Linked DNA regions of Elephas maximus indicus. The protein of the gene in region 2 interacts with the protein of the main gene of each other region in a pairwise test. Links are inferred from orthologs where the notes say so. Each region holds a gene or a part of one and is shown on either strand. Other genes may lie near its edges.

Evidence for each region.
Region 1: the proteins of TRIM69 (region 2) and NEK8 interact in binary tests that used the Homo sapiens proteins (3 or more experiments, as listed by UniProt). The two-hybrid records come from large-scale screens. The link is inferred for Elephas maximus indicus from reciprocal best matches to the Homo sapiens genes TRIM69 and NEK8.

What each region holds. Positions count from the first base shown.
Region 1 is NC_064837.1:23,178,733-23,186,909, reverse strand, and holds the start of NEK8 (serine/threonine-protein kinase Nek8), read left to right. Parts: upstream 1-5,041; coding exon 5,042-5,127; intron 5,128-5,238; coding exon of another isoform or gene 5,239-5,356; exon of another isoform or gene 5,357-5,923; intron 5,924-7,498; exon of another isoform or gene 7,499-7,562; coding exon 7,563-7,768; intron 7,769-8,015; coding exon 8,016-8,177. UniProt on the Homo sapiens protein: Required for renal tubular integrity. May regulate local cytoskeletal structure in kidney tubule epithelial cells. May regulate ciliary biogenesis through targeting of proteins to the cilia.
Region 2 is NC_064828.1:11,406,994-11,415,280, forward strand, and holds the start of TRIM69 (E3 ubiquitin-protein ligase TRIM69), read right to left. Parts: upstream 3,154-8,287; 5' UTR 3,088-3,153; coding exon 2,815-3,087; intron 1-2,814. Other genes in the region: E3 ubiquitin-protein ligase RNF4-like, read right to left, coding at 4,224-4,793.

The DNA.
Region 1 (8,177 bases), on a different chromosome or scaffold from region 2:
CCAGAGGACTAAGGGAGGAAGGGCGGGAATGGAGGCAGTGCGAACACTCAGGACTAAGGCTCCCTTCTCCACCCCAGACCCGATGGAGAGAAGAAGGCATATGTTCGACTGGCTCCTGACTATGATGCTTTGGATGTTGCCAACAAAGTAAGCTTCCTCTTCTACAAACTCCCTAACACCCACCCCCTGGGTACAGATGATGCCTCTGTTAGTGACCAAAGCCTGATGTTTGGTGATGAGTCTTAACTGACTGACTGCACCCTATCCGTAACAGGCCTCGCCCTCGTTTTTTTTTTTTAACCATAACATTCCAACTTAATCTTCACGTTTCAGCTCTTAGTAACAAAGCTCCCTTTTGTTTTTCAGATTGGGATCATATAAACTGAGTCCAGCTGGCTAATTCTAAATATAAATTTTTTCACCACATATGCTTCTTGTCTTTGTATCTGTTTCTGGTTGGGCTGGGGTGAAGCCATGCTATGGTACACAGCTACGGGGCCTGGGCAAGACTCTTAAGTCTGCTTTGTTGCTATTAAAACACTCAGCCCTGACACCCCACCATACTCGTAACCCCTGGTGGTAGGAGCTTACGTACCAGACATACTTTGTGACCCAGATTAAGGTTAGCTGTCCTAAGACAACTTCACTGAGAGTTTTCATTAGCATCCATTACCGGGCAGTGTGTGGGTTGGCTGGCTTTCGGGTAGCACCCAGTCCCCACACACCCATCTACCGTGTCCAACCGGTCTGTCTGCTTCCCTCACCGCTTGCCCAAGAAAGGACAAGGACTTCAGAGGAGTGCTTTCATAGTATTTTCAATACCAGGTGCCCAAGGTTAGAGGTTGGTCACAAAGAACACCCCAGGCTTGGGGTGAAGTCCTAGTTGTTGTGTGAATTTGCTCTCCTAGGCTGTGTTTCCTGGCCTTGCCATGAGTCCCAGGCTCTGCTCTCACTCAGTCAAGAATTTGTCTTTGTGTTTCTGGCTGGGGACACGTTCAGGGCAGAAGTCAGAGCGAAGGAGGCGGGAAAAGTAGATGAGGATCATCACGTCCAGCATGAGCAGGATGCCCAGTAGAAAGGTACCCAGGTTCCTCTGGCCGGTGTAACGCAGGAAGAAATGGGTGAGGTAGGCCTGAGGAGCTAGGCGGAAGAGAAAGTACATGACCAGGTTGACATACTTGTTGACCCGGTAGAGAAGGAGATCCTGGGCATTGTTAATCTTCATCATCATGCGGATGGTAAGGAAGATGTTGCTGACCTCCACTAGTAGTGTTAGGACGCCCCCACCAACAAAGCTGCTCCAAAATATGCCTGAGAAGAAGGCACCCATGGCCTAGAAGGTGAAGAACAGGGGTTAGGGACCAGAGATGCCAAAACTTTCTTGGAAGTTGGTAGGAGTGTGATCACAACAGAGTTGGAAGCCCCCTCTTTCCTCCTGATGTAGTTAAAATGTCTTCTTCATTCAACATTAAACCTTGATCTCTGATCATAGGGCCTGGCACTGAGTGGAATTTCCAGCCTATTTAAGGAGGTGCAAGGTGCACTGGGGAAACCCTGGTGGTGTAGTGGTTAAGTGCTCTGGCTGCTAACCAAGAGGTCAGCAGTTTGAATCCAGAAGCTGCTCCTTAGAAACCCTATGGGGCAGCTCTACTCTGTCCTGTAGGGCTATGAGTTGAAACAGGCTCAACAGCAACAAGTTTGTTTTTTGGTTTAGGTGGGACCAAGGATTGCAGGCCTCAAGTGGGGAGCGTAGGGACAGTGCCAACCCTCAGCTTTTAGCATGAGAAAAGATGTAGGACAAGGGTAAGACCAGGGTTAAGAGAAGATGGCCTTCTCAGGTTCAGACTGGGTTGAGACCCAGTAGCCAGCACCAGGTCTATACCCCAGCCCCTGCTCACTTACCATGACGTGGTGGACAAGATATTCCCAAGAAGCTCGAGCCTGGCGGCTCACCACGATGTCTACCGTGTCGTGGATGAAATAACCTAGTGGAGGAATGGAAGGATAGGTCATGAAAAGGGCTGAAAAGCTTTCTTCTACCAACTTTGGCTTCCTGGGCAAGACCTACCTGCAGAGAAGCAGACAAGTAGATAGCCAGAAAGTGACCATGCCGTCTCAATCTCCACCAGCATTTCAGGGGTCTGCCATACACTGGAAGGGAGGAAAGAAGCGAGGCTCCCACCGTTTCGGCACTCCAAAGGGCCCTGGCCCTCAAATCCCCAATTACTGTTGGCAGTCCTGGGGGAGTCTGGGCCAGCCGCTCGCGCTATTGGCTGACTAGGGAGCAAGGAGGGGATTGGCCGAAACGCTGTGCCTCCGGTTTCCCAGGTGAGACTCCCCCTCCCCTGGGGCCGCTTCCACTCCTGGTTGGATAGGATTCCAAAATAGAGAATCAGGTGAGACTGCAGGGCCTCAGCCGCCCGTGGGCGATGAAGTAAAGCAAGAGCCAGTTTCAGCTCCCTGTGCACGGATCCCCTAGCTACCTTCAGTCCCCCAATCGCTTACTCACCACAGTAGCGCCCAGATTCCAGAAACTATGGAGTGAGCAAAGGAGACGAGCAGGTTGTGCCAGCGCCAGGTGCGCAGGGAGTCGGCACGCACGTGCGCGGGCAGGGGCAGGCGACAGAGCGCGCGCCGGAGCGCCCGGAAGGTCAGCGTGGCGCCCAGGAGCAGCGGCAAGGCGGGGTGCAGCAGAAGGGGCATACTGGCCCTCCCTGCCGTCTGTCTGCCCGCCTTCTTGGCGGCTGCCTCAGGTTGTTCGGGGAACAGGCTCCTTCTCAGGCCAGTCCGCCCCGAACACCTCTCCTGCCGCCGCCGGCCCTCGCGCCGGCCGCCAGCCTCGCACACTTTCCGCGGAGCCCTTTAGGCCCCTTCGCTCCGCCCGGCCCCTCCCCGCGCGGCCTCTGCCCCCGCCCCCAGCCGCCCGCGCCCCCGCCCCGCCCCGTCCGCCCGCCCCCGCTCCCCGGCGCCTGTGCCGCGCGGAGGGCGCGAGCCCCATTTCCCGGGCGCCTCCCGGGCCCCGCCAGGCCCCCGAAGGCTTCGGGCGAAGAGGGGCTGTCCCGGAGGCTCTGCTGCCGAGGCACCCCGCGCTGGCGCTTCCCGACTGCTGACGGAGTACGCTCCCGCCCTCGCTCGCTTGGCCTTATTAATCCGCGTCCCCACTTTCCCCGGGGCCACCGGCTTCCCCGCCCTGGGCGGGGACTGAGAGAAACCTCCCCACCCTCAACTTCTTTCTGAGCAAAGTTGGGCGGGACCTGTCACCCACGCCCCTTAAGCCCTGGTCCTGCGGAGGGGTCGGAGGCCCGGATCGGACGATGATTTCTGCACAGACCCTGTTCCTGCACTGGACCCACTAGCTTCTTCAGGCCAAGATGGTCGTGCTTACCTGCTCCTATTTCCCACCACCACCCCCCGCACCAAGTGGGTGCTTAGGAACTATTAACTCACCACCTCTTCTCCCAGCTGCTCCTGGGCTCCTGGGGCCAGGCGGCTGTCACAATCCTCCCTCAGACAGTCCCAGTCCTCTTCTGGCTCCCTGGAGGCTGGGGCGGGGAAGACCGACGCTTTGCCCAGGCTACTGGAGTGACCCTCATTCTCCAGCCCAAGGGCCTGGAGCAATTGCGGCTCGCGGCCACTAGGTGCCAGCCTGTCCTCATTGTGGCGAGGGCCTCCTGCCTTCAACGAGCATGGCAGTTGCGTTTTAGGAAAGTTAGACTCTGGGCAAAGGGAGGAAGCGGTTGAGCCCCGAGGGGGTAGGAAGGGACCAGGGGCTAGGGGAAAGGTGCTGCGGGAGGGAAGAGAAAGCCAGAAGTATGGGGCGCCAGAGACCCAGGGACTAAGCAGTTTGGGTGTTTGTTCTGCCTCCTCTGACAGCTCCAAGGTTACACATTAACCCCTGTGGGCCTCCTGGGTCAACCTCGGCCTGTTGGTTTCTAGGTGAGGGCACTAGTGTCCCGGGTGAACGGCTTTCCCTCTCTGCACTCCCCTTTGCTTACAGGGCAGCTTTGTCCACCTGCCTACAACGACCTGAGCCAGAGACTGAGGGGCTCTCGTGGTCATTCCATGCGCGTTGGTTTGGGGCGGGGACAGAGGATAAACACCCGTTTCCTCAACATACCTCGCTCACTCAGAAATAAAGATACTAACCTTGAGCTAATCACCATCCTCCTTCTTATGACTGAGATTTTCATGGAGCTCCCGCAGAGCAGGAGCCGCCGGAGAGAACCTTGAATTAAACTGACTTCCCATCAAGACCCGAGATGGTGATACCAGCCAGCACCCCCTACCTCTAGGCAGACCTTGCACCTATCCCAGACAGGAGTCCACCTATCTCCCATCTTCCCCCCATTAAGTTTTTTCTAGTTGAACGCTGAGGGCAGAGCACCCTGCTGCAGCGTTGCGTGTGTGGAGGGGACAGTTGAAGGATGCTGACAAGCGCGGTGCTCACTACTCGGGACAGACTGAAAACTGTGTCACATCCTCCCCAGGTGAATCAAACTGCACAGCTCGGGGTTTCCCCGGTCCCTCCCTAGGCAAACATGAAACTAACCCTGCTCCCTACCCCGCAGACCGAAAGGGCTGACACTCTCGGTTCAGTTTTGGTTAAGTATTTATCGTTTCCGTGCCAGTGCGAATCCGCCCTCTCCTTCTGAAATAACGTCACTCTTGGGCAGAGGGAGGTGGGTCCTCGCTTCCCACCCCCAGCTGGTCTGCGGAAGGTCAATTCTCGGGGCACGGTACCCTTCAGGTGTATCGAGGCTTTGCGAGGACTGGATTGGGCCACACGTGTGGGGAGCGACGGTACCGTGCTGGCTACAGCGGGGCGCGACAAACAGTGGGATATCACCCCATTCCCCGGACCCTGTGAGGGGCGGGATCGAGAAAGAAAAGCGCTCGCGTGCCAGGGTTGCCTGGACGGTGTAAATCAGCAGAGACGTGGAGGGGAACCTAAGTCTGAGCTCTACTTGCTCCGCCCCACAAATACTCACAGGGCGGGGGCGGGGCCTTAGAGTGGGCGGGTCTGCGCACGCGCTGTGTCTGTATGTGGCGGGGTTCCGGAAGTGTGGCTCTGAAAAATGAGATGGAGAAGTACGAGCGGATCCGTGTGGTGGGAAGAGGTGCATTCGGGTGAGCCAGGGGTCTGGGGGAGGCAAGTGCTTGGAAAGAGGGAAAATAAGCCCCAGCTCTGGCCGTGACGTCGCTGCCCGGTTAGCCCCGCCCCAAGACGTGAGCCCTCACTCTGTGGAGCCGCGTCCAGGTTTCCGGTCCCAGATCTGGCGGGAGGCTCCGCCCCCAAGGAGGCCACGCCCCTGGCAAGCTTACGCGCCCTCGCCGAGTTCTTCGCTGCGTGACTCATTCATTCAACAAACACTGAGCGCCAACTGTACAAGTCAGATCCTGGGACTGAGTAAACACTTATAACTAAAACTTGCATGATCCTTGATCTACGTCAAAGAATTTACAGACTATAGAAGCAAACTATACAATAAGCAAGACAAATTGTTAAAGGAGTTATAAAGGTATGGCAGTTAGGGAAGTTATTAACAGGCTGTAAGGAGAGTACACCACCAGGGAAAAAATTTATTAGGGTTTGGTCAAGGAAGGCTTTTCTGAGCTGTGAGGTTAAAGCCAAGACTTGAAGAATGAAGACCAGTGGTCGGAGAGTGAAGGCCTTTTCAGGCAGGAAACTGCATATGTGAAGATCCTCAGGAGGGAAAAAATTCAGAGCATTCAAGGAACTGAGAAAAAGACTAGTGTAGCTGGGATGTAGTGGGCAGGGTAGAGAATTTATAAAATGAGGTTGTCAGGGTGGACAGGGACCAGATTATGGCTTTGTAGGCCGAGGTAAAGGGGTTGATTTTATTTGCAGTATACGGGGAAGGAAGCCCCGGTGGCCCAGTGATTAAGAGCTCAGGCTGCTAACCAAAAAGTTCGCAGTTGAAATCCACCACCAGCTCCTTGGAAGCCCTATGGGGCAGTTCTGCTCCGTCCTTTAGGGTCGCTATGAGTCAGAAGTGACCCAGCGGCAACCTTTTATAAGGGGAAGAGTTTTAAGCAGAGGAAGGGTCTGAACTGACTTGAGTATTTAAAACATCACTCTGGCTGTTATGTGGAATTTAGATTTGAGGGTGACAAGAGCAAAAGGGACCATTTCAGAGGCTAGTGTGCATTTTAGGTAAGAGACGATGATTTGATCAAGCGTTATAGCAGAGGGCATGGAGAGAAGTGGATGGCGTCATGATATTTTGGAGGCAGAAACACAGGATTTACTGATGAGTTGGTGTGAAATGGAGGAAAGACCCTGGGATGATTCTCAGGTGTCTGACTTTAATAAGTAGAGGATGGTGGTGCCATTTACTGAAATGGAAAAGAGCCGGGAAGGAAAAGTTTTTGGGGGGGTAGGAAACAAGAGTTTTAATTTGCTAAAGTGTAGGATGGCTATGAGCCATTCAGGTGGAGATGCAAAGCAGGTAGTTGGATGTGTCAGTCTGGGGCTCAGAGGAGAGGTCTGGGCTGGAGATATAAATTTCAGACTGTTCAGCAAATATTTATTGAGCTCCTAATAAGTGCTAAACACTGGGCTATGCACTGGGAACTTAGGGGTAAACAAGGGGAGTGTAGTCCCTGCTATTATGGACATTGACCACAGACTAGAAATGAAATAATAATATGAATGGTTTGTACATATTGAGCATTTTCTGTGTGCCAGGAACTTGCTAAGTGCCTTCTCTGCGTTTTCTCATTTGATCTTAACAGCTCGGTGAAGTCGATTCTATATTATCCCTATTTTCCATATGACGATGTCACATAACTTGTCTAAGACCAGACAGTAAGAGGAGAAGCAAGGATTTGAACCCAGGCAGTTGACTCCAGAGTCTGTGGGAACTTAAAGCAAAACAAAACAATTGCCATCAAGTTGACCCTGACTCATGGTGACCCCATGTGTGTCAGAGTAGAACTGTGCTTCGTAGGGTTTTCAATGGCTGGTTTTTCAGAGTAGGCTTCCAGGCCTTTCTTCCAAGGTGCCTCTCGGTGGCCTAGAACCGCCAACCTTTTAGTTAGCAGCTGAGGGTATTTACCAATTTCACCACCCAAGGACTCTTATGGGAACTTATAGATCAGGATTACTTTTTCCTCATTGCGCCTGTGGTAAAACTGAGTTTCAGATAAGTTAAATAACTTCCCCAAGGCCTCACACCACGTTTGTGATCATTCCTCCCGTTTCTCCAGCTCAGTGTTTTGGGCCCTTGGCTTCCCATTGCTGTTGAGTCCATTCCGACTCATAGCGGCCCTATAGGACAGAATAGAGCTGTACCATAAGGTTTAAGAGGTTGAAACCTTTATGGAAGCAGACTGCCACATCTTTCTCCTGTGGAGTGGCTGGTGGGGTTCAAACTCCTGACCTTTCAGTTTGCAACTGAGTGTTTTAACCACTGTGCCACTGGGACTCCTTGGTTAGATGACTTCTTAGTCTGGGTCCCCGTTCTGCTCTTTTAAGGAGCTCCCAGGCACCAGGTTTGCCCCGCCTGACCCGAGCCCGCCACCGTACTCCGTGTCCCCAGGATTGTACACCTGTGCCTGCGCAAGGCTGACCAGAAGCTGGTGATCATCAAGCAGATTCCAGTGGAGCAGATGACCAAGGAGGAGAGGCAGGCGGCCCAGAATGAGTGCCAGGTCCTCAAGCTGCTCAACCACCCCAATGTCATTGAGTACTACGAGAACTTCCTGGAGGACAAGGCCCTCATGATTGCCATGGAATACGCACCAGGTGGGCCAGCCTCCTTGCATTGGCCTGGCTCCAAGGACCCCTTGCCTCTGGGACAGGCAGACACAGATTAGCCAGCTTCCTGCTTTGGGATGGGCTTGGCTGAGGGTCAGGGGTATAGAGTTCTGGTCCCAGTCGTGTGACCCAGGCCCCTTGCCCTCCCCGGCCTCAGTGTAGTATTCCATAAAAGAAGAGGTGCTGTCCTGGGCATGGAAAAGCCCGGATTCTGACCACCCTGTTGTGGTCATAGGTGGCACCCTGGCTGAGTTCATCCAAAAGCGCTGCAATTCCCTGCTGGAGGAGGAGACCATCTTGCACTTCTTCGTGCAGATCCTGCTGGCACTACATCACGTGCACACCCACCTTATCCTGCACCGGGACCTCAAGACTCAGAACATCCTTCTCGACAAGC
Region 2 (8,287 bases):
ACCTAACACCTACAGCAAACATCAAGTACTCCAAAGAAGCGGAATATAAATGAAATTTCCAATCTTCTAGACTCCAAAGATGCTGAGAAGTCAGCATTATTTCTTCCTCTATACTTTAACAGCACTTCGCAGGTACTTATATCACAGTTTTTATTACACTGCGTATTTCTTTCATCCTCATAACTAGTTGTTTGCATATCTCTCCTCCACTAGCCATGAGCTTCTTGGAGGAAAAGACTAATTCAGCTTTTTAGTTACACAGACCTACACTCTCAAATTTTAATAAATCCTAGCTAAGTGAGTGGATGAGTGAGTGAATTAATGATTAGGCAGTACCCAGCAATGCACCATACCTGCTCTTTTATGTTTGCAGAATAAAGCAGCTGCTGTTTCTGTGGCTCCTGTTTGTTTAGAGGAAAGGAAGTGGGTAGTTAAAGGTCCTCTTCTCAGTAGAAGTCAAGTGGTACAGGTAACCTCTGCCTCAGTCCTTGCTACATACTGGCAGCTCCTAGACCCTCCATTTAGAGTGCCAGTGATGCTGGCAGGGCTACACCTGGGGCCAGGTGCCTCCTTCATGCCACTCCACAGAAGAAAGGAAGGTGCTCCTAGGATGTTTTTGCCTGCTGAAAGCTAAGGGGGCAGGGAAGAGCCCATATCAAATGCCACCCTGAAGAATGTCCCCCATACAGTGAGGGTCATCATGTTAGAGCTGTCTGTGAATAGCCCCTGGGACAGTAGAAAAAACGTTTTCCTCAGGTGGGAACCTACCTGCACGATACATGGAACTGGACTATGAAACTGAAGATGGAGGGAAAAAAAACTAAAGTTTTACTCTTAAAATACTGTGTATTAACAGATGTCTAAAACTGTTCTAAATAAGTCTGTTAGAACAGCCTGCTGTTCCTAACCATGAACACCTTGTTTAGAACTACCCAGTGGGACCCAACCCAGCCAGAGTCCTAGAGGAGGCCAGGACTGTAGGGCACTAGAACAGCAGGGCTTAAAGACAAAGGCCTGTGCCTCCCTGCGATTCCTTGGTCCTAGCTATCCATGAGTGTGTCAGGGAAGCCCAACAGTAGGTAAGAAATGTTGGGAGTGTGTGTGTGTGTGCATTGGTGCAAATGCTGCTGCTGCTCACCACCCTCGCTGCAGGAAAGTCCTGTTTTGAGACAGACACTGGACTAATGATGTTATTGGAACCTGTTTTACTTTATTAACACTCCCTTGACTATCCCACTAGGCAAATATTAATACCAAAGCAGTGGGATGTAACTGATGTAAGGAAGGGACCTAAAGGCTTACTCCTCTTAACTATTTTAGGTTCTTGGAGAGCAACATGTTTCTCCTGCGAGGTGTATGCAATATTTACAGTAGGGATGAATTCAGTGTGGACCACGCGACAGAAAGCTCAGTCCTTGGTTAGTGACCAGTCTGACTCCTTCACTTTTTCTGTCTTCTCCTTATTCTCAAGCAGATCGATTTCAGCCTGTGGTTCATGGAACCTGGGCATATGACAGCTCAAGAAGTTGTCTGTGTGTAATGATAGTGAACATCAGGAAAAGACGAATGAATATCGCCAGATGATTTCACCATGGGGCTAATTTGGTCTGAAGCTAGATCAGGAACCAAGTGGTTAAGTTTGATTGTCTACCCCTCCCAATTCCATTTCCACTCTGGCCAAATAAGCTTCCACTTACCCAAAAGGCTACCGAAAGCTAAATCGGAACTGCCACACCTGCCCCTGACTCCTATCACTGCCACCTCACACCAACAACCATCGCCCAAAAGCTGCCACAGCTGCCTTCTGGCTTCCATAGCTGGACTGGCCACGCTCTCATGGACTCTCAGACATCAGGGGCAAGAGAGCGCCAGTGCAGCACCAAACGTCTCAGACCAAGGCTACTTCCTTTTTTCTCACATACACATCAAATAATTCACTCACATTTTGAGAGGAAAATCAACACCAGAATCTTTCTAGTTCCACCTCCACATTTTTCCCCCAGCTTTTCAACTGCGTCTTCAGCTGTTACTGGCATCATGCTGAGTCTTCAGAATCCTTCCCTGGAGGCTGTAGAATAAAATCTAAACTCTGTACATAACACACAATGCCCCGCTCATGATGTAGCCCTAAGCATCTCTCCTAGCTTTAATTCTCTCTTCGTGCAGCCACGTACAATAGTCACACCAAAGTGGCCCTGCCAATGTGCTCTGTGGCGTCTTCTACTTTTGTTTTGACGCCCTGTTGAGGTTCCTACCCTTGCCAAGGTCTACACTCTGACTGCCTGTGATGTATGCACGCAGTGCCTAGTACCTAGGAGGTGCCACTACTAATTCCTTCTTGCTTAGAGTCCTCAGACAAGGTAAGGCGTGTTCCCATTAAAACAAGCCTGTTATCCCTTCCTAGGGCTTGTACTCCAAATCCCTGTCCAATTTTTCCCCCAACAGCTGAGCTAGACAATGAAGTAACAGATGTCAGCGTCCCCTAACTAATCCACAGTGGTATAACCAGAACAGTGGTTACCTATAGCGGTGGGGATTGACTGGAAGAGGGCACAAGGGGACTTTTTAGGTTGACAGAATTGTTCTATATTTTGATTGGGGTGTTAGGCACATGAATGTATATATTTGCCAAAACTCATTAGCCAAGTCTGTGATGTACTGTGCCGTGTCACAGAGCAACGAATAGTCTCCAAAGTGGGATGCACGCGACAATCTCATGAAATGTGGAAAGGAAATATTTAGAACGTTTTTCTAAATTTTTTTCCTTTTCATTTTTTTTTTCTCATTTCATTTGAGAATATAAAAGGGACCCACCGCAGGGTGGACACCACATTTATCTTGCGTATTCTCCACCAAGCGGAACAACCGAGGTCTGGGGTGTGGGCAGCATTCCAGAGAAGCAGTGAGTAGACAGGAAGGAGGCCAACAGGCAAGTAAGCCTCCATGGGGAAGAGCAGCATGCCATGACCATAGGAAACCAAGTGTAGAGCAAGCTTTATTCCGCGTTTCACTCTCTGAGAAAGGGAGAGGGCTTTGCAGAGACCACCCTCCTCCAGTCAAAAGTGCAGACTGAACTGTGAGTGCCATGCGACATTCTGCAAAGGATAGCAGTGGAGGGTCTTCTCAAGGCCTCTGAGCCAGCCAGGCCCCAGAGCAGCTGAGATGGTGATGAGCTGATCTGTTTGTTCACAGAGACACATGCAGACTTGTTGATCAGTTGATCAGGGTGGTCAAAGGCAGGCATACCTGTAAATCCAGGGTGAAGACAGCGCTTCTCTGGCTGGCAGGTTCAAGAGAGCACAGGACAATGCCTCCATATTCCATTGTGCCCAGGCCACTGCCCAGGCCGGCCTCACAGGTCACTAGAAGACTCAGCAGGGCAGGGTGCCTAGTAGTATACCCCCTTCACTCTGCTGGTTGGACAGGTGGCCAGAAAAGACTGACTGACTTCTACTCCCAAAGGAATCGAGAAATCCAGAGGCAATACCCTGCCTAGTCCATTAATCAGAATACAGTTTCCATTAATCTAGCCAAGACCAACATGTCGTTAGATGCCACTGAGCCGATTCCAACTCACTGTGACCCTATGTGACAGAGCAGAACTGCCCCGTGGGGTTTTCTAGGCTATAATCTTTATGGGAGAAGATTGCCAGGTCTTTCTTCCGTGGAGCCGCTGGCTGGGTTGAAGCCGCCAACCTTTCAGCTAGCAGCCGAGCACTTAACGATTGTGCCACCAGCGCTCCAGACCCAATATAATGGTTGCTTAAACAAGGATGAAATTCATACTTCTTGCACATAAAAGTCCAAACTTGTACGGTTGCTCTTGTCTGTGACATTGTCAGTCTCCTAAGTTCCTTCTGTCTACTTGCTCCACCATCTCTAGGGTGGTGCCCTCATTTACATGATCCAAAATGGCCACAGGTGGCCAACTAGAAATTGATTACTATGGGAAAGAAAGGGAAAAATTGCTTTGGGGACAGCCACTTGTCTCTGGCACACTGAGACAACCACCAAAGTCCAGCCCTGTGGCATGAAACCAAAGAAAAACAAAAAGGAGCATCTCATAGTATGTAGAAACAAAACAGCTTTTTATATACTGCAGATAGCAGACTTAAAAATCAGGCTTTTTGAGCTCAGAGCATTGGATGCCAACAATCCATAGTTCTACAGTAGCACGTGGAAAACGCCAGCCAGGCTGTCTGTCCTGAACAACACAGCACACATCATACATAAATGCGGTGGTACTCATGGCCACGGATTTTTTTCAAACAAACTGGACAAGTTTTAGTATATTTCAGGGAATTGCGGAGGCACTGACTACAGAAGATGTGGCCACATTCTGTAGAATAGATGCATCTTCCGCTCTGTTCAATCTCTGAATACCCATCCATGCAAATTCGACAGCAGATATAACCAGGTAGCCGGCAACGTAAAGCTTCTTCTTCCAGGGCATTGTGGTGGACACTGTTGATCACATACACATCTCTGTCCCTCATCAACCCCTCCTCATCACTGCTCACCACACAGCTGCCAATTTGGCCTTCAAGTGGCCTTGCGTTTCTCCTTGGCCTCCTCCTTTCTTCAGTTATCACAACAGAGTCATTTTGAGTTAGATCAATCACTGTGGGTTCTAAAGATTCACAGGTGAGGTCTACTACTTCATCCCTATCACTTTCCCTGAGTTCTATCAGTTCTGCTTCCAATGCCATCTCAGGGGTTGGGCCTCCTATCCCAGCCCGCTTATGGGCTTGTCTGGAATTGACCATGCTACCACAGCACATTCTTGTATTCATTGTGCTTTTTGGATCCAGCCTTCAAAGAAGTAAGCAATTTGTTCCAAAGTTTACAATGAATGTTAAAGTCCTCAATGTCTTGCAACTGTTGTTATGGTTGCATTTTGCAGCTGGCCTACATAAGAATTTAGAGCCCAGATTTTCTAGTATCTTTGAGCTCTGATCCTGGTTCCAGTCCTCTGTCTTCGCCTCCACAACTGATGTGCTCCCACAGAGGGTGACTCTTCTGGGAGCCACTGATAAGACAACTCAATCTGAATTTTTATCTGAAAAAGTGAGAGAAAAATTGAAGTTTAGTAATATTTAAAATAAGATTGATAGTAATATGTATAAATACATAGTTATATATATGTTTATAATGTATATTAAAAAAAACCTTTTTGATAGTCATGCATTTTAACAAAGTTTGGAGACCACTGCTCTCGACGCTGAGTGCCCCTCCTTACTACATATCCTGATGGTAGTGAGGAGAAGGAGAAGCTCAAGGGGGACTTTCATGAAGAGAAGCACCAAGGAAGGGCCACCACTTCATCCAGGAGCCATTATGGGGATCTCAAGTAAAAATGGAGAATGCAAGAAGCTCTTTGCACAGTTGAGTTTTTAATAAGAAATGAACTATTCAGTCCACACAGAGGTTCATCTTGCCGAGGATTCACTGTCCAGCAGAGGCAACTATGGAATTTTTAATTAAAGAGTTTTATCCCAGATTCTGTTCTAGGGAGGAGGAGATGGAGTTTAAACATGAGCCACAGAGAGAGACTTGGTTTGATTCTGGGCTCTGTGCCTTTTGGACTTGTGACTTAGAGAGTTATTTAAGTTCTCAAAATCTCAGCAGGTAAATCCTTTATAAAAACTAATTCTTTTTGCAATTAAAAAAATAATGCAGATACATGGTTAAAAAAAAAAAAATCACAGTGAAAGGTATGGCTCCCACCTTGGATGCCCGCTCCCCCAGTTCTTCCCAAAGGCAACTGCCATTACCAGCTTATTGTGTCTCTACCAGAGACATACGGTAATAATGCATACAGAACATGTATTACTTTGATATACTTTTTATATATAAACTCTGCTTAAAATTCAGAATTGTGATCAGAAGCTGTACCTACTGTCACCAATAATATTTTTAAGCTACATTTTGCATTCTTTTAGATAAATATATTTTAAATAAATAAGACACTTTATTCCACATATATTAAAAACAAAACAAAAAACCCCAACCTCATAGGGAGCTATGAGGAACAAACGAGAATTTCTAGCACATTGGCAAATATAAGGCAAAAATGTCATCTGTCCCCCACTTTGGTAGTTGTAGTTGCCTTGGATCACCCTAGTCATTGGCTTTTATGACTTCCCCCATCTCAGTAAGTTTTCCCCTTTTAAGATTTGAAAGGAGAAAAATTTACTTTATTTTAGAAAGTACCAGTTGGGAAGCCAAACAGGTTTCCAACTAAGTGAACCAGGCCATTGACAGTCACATACGCCAAGGCTATTCTATAGAAGCGCCGCCAGGAGAAGACCCAGTGCCTTCAAGGATACTACATGAAAAGATGAAGCTGGAGGATTTAGTAAAAACCTCAGGAAAACAAAAGCCACCAAGGGCAGCTAAACAGAGAAACCCTGGGCACGCCCACATGCACTGCCCATGTGCTGGATTCTGGAGTCAGGCCTGGCTTGGAATCAAAACTCTAGCTCTGACTGCCTATTTGACCCTGGTGAATTAGTCTCTCTGAGCTTCAGTCTTCTCATCAGAAGGCATAATAACACCTTCCTTCTAGAATGCTAAAAAAAAAAAAATGACATAAACATGTAAAGCCTCTAGCACCAGGCAAAATCTCACTCAAAGGGATTTTTTTCTTTTCCGGAATATTTTATTCTGCTTTAGGTGAAAGTTTGGAGACCTGGTGGCTCAATGGTTAAGAGCTACAACGAGCTATGGCTGCTAATCAAAATGTCAGCAGTTCAAATCCACCACCTGCTCCTTGGAAACCCTATAGGGCCATTCTACTCTGTCCTATAGGGTCACTATGAGTCGGAATCAACTTGATGGCAACAGAGGGGGGTTAGGTGAAAGCTTACAAAGCAAATTAATTTCCCATTCAATAATTCATACTCAAACTGTTCCACGACATTGTTTGCAATCCCCATAATGTGTCAGCATCTCCCCATCTCTACCCTGGGTTCCCCTTTCCATTCATCCTGTTTCCCTGCCCCTTCTCATCTTTGTTTCTGGGCAAATGTTGACCTTCTGGTCTCGTATAATTGATTGTTCTAAAGAGCACATTTCCTCATGTATGTTATTGTTTATTTTATAGGCCAGTCTATTCAGCTGAAAGGTGGCCTCCAGGAGTGGCTTCAGTTCCAGGTTAGAAGGCTGTCTTAGGGCAATAGTCTTGGGGGTTCCTTCAGTCTGTCAGACCAGTAAGCCTGGCCTTTTTATGATTTGAATTTTGTTCTACATTTTTCTCCCATTCTAAAATTAACCAGGGTCCTCGGTTGTGATCTCGGTAAAAGCAGTCAGTAGTGCGTAGCTGGACACCATCTAGTGCTTCTGGTCTCAGGTTAGAGGAGGCTGTGGTTCACGTGGGTCATTAGTCCTTTGGGCTGATTGCTTCCTTGAGGCTTTGGTTTTCTTTACCTTTCTCTAGACGGGAAGAGACCAATAGTTGTGTCTTAGATGGCCACCTGCAAGCTTTTAAGACCCCAGATACTATTCATCAAACGAGGATGTAGAATACTATCTTTATGAACTATGTTATGCCAATTGACCTAAATGTCCCCCAAGACTATGGTCCTTAGCCCTCAAACCCAGTAACAGCTCCTAGGGGAGTCTGGATATGTCTAAGAAGTTTCCATAACTGTGCCCCTACGTGCCATGTTATGTATATGAATATACATGCAGCATATACAAATATGTATATAGAAATATCCATAACTATACCTATTTTTTATACCTATATATATGAGTGTGGGTGTACTCCCGCACAACCTCCCACATCTATTTAGCATACATATCTACCTATGTACCCATTCACAAATAATTGTTTGCCATTACTGTTGTTGCAGGATTATATCCATTATAGGATTTACTGTCGTTGCCCTTTATTCTTGCGTACCTCTCAGTATCTTCCTTTGCCTTGGTCACTTTGTGCCGACTTCCCCTGTATTATGTATTGCCTTTCCCTTCACCAGAATTAATGTGTGTCTGCTATCTAGTTAGTGATTCTCCCTCCCTCTCCCTCCCAACCCTAGTAACCATCAAAGAACGTTTCTTTCTGTTTGTAAACCTATTCTTGACTTTTTGTAATAGTGGTCTCCTACAGTATTGCCCTTTTGTGACTGACTTATTTCACTCAGTACAATGTCCTCCAGGTTCACCCATGTGAGATATTTGCTGATTCATCATTATTCTTTATCATTGCGTAGCATTCCATTGTGTGTATGTACCACAGTTTGTTTATCCAATTTGTCTGTTGATGAGCACTAAGATTGTTTCT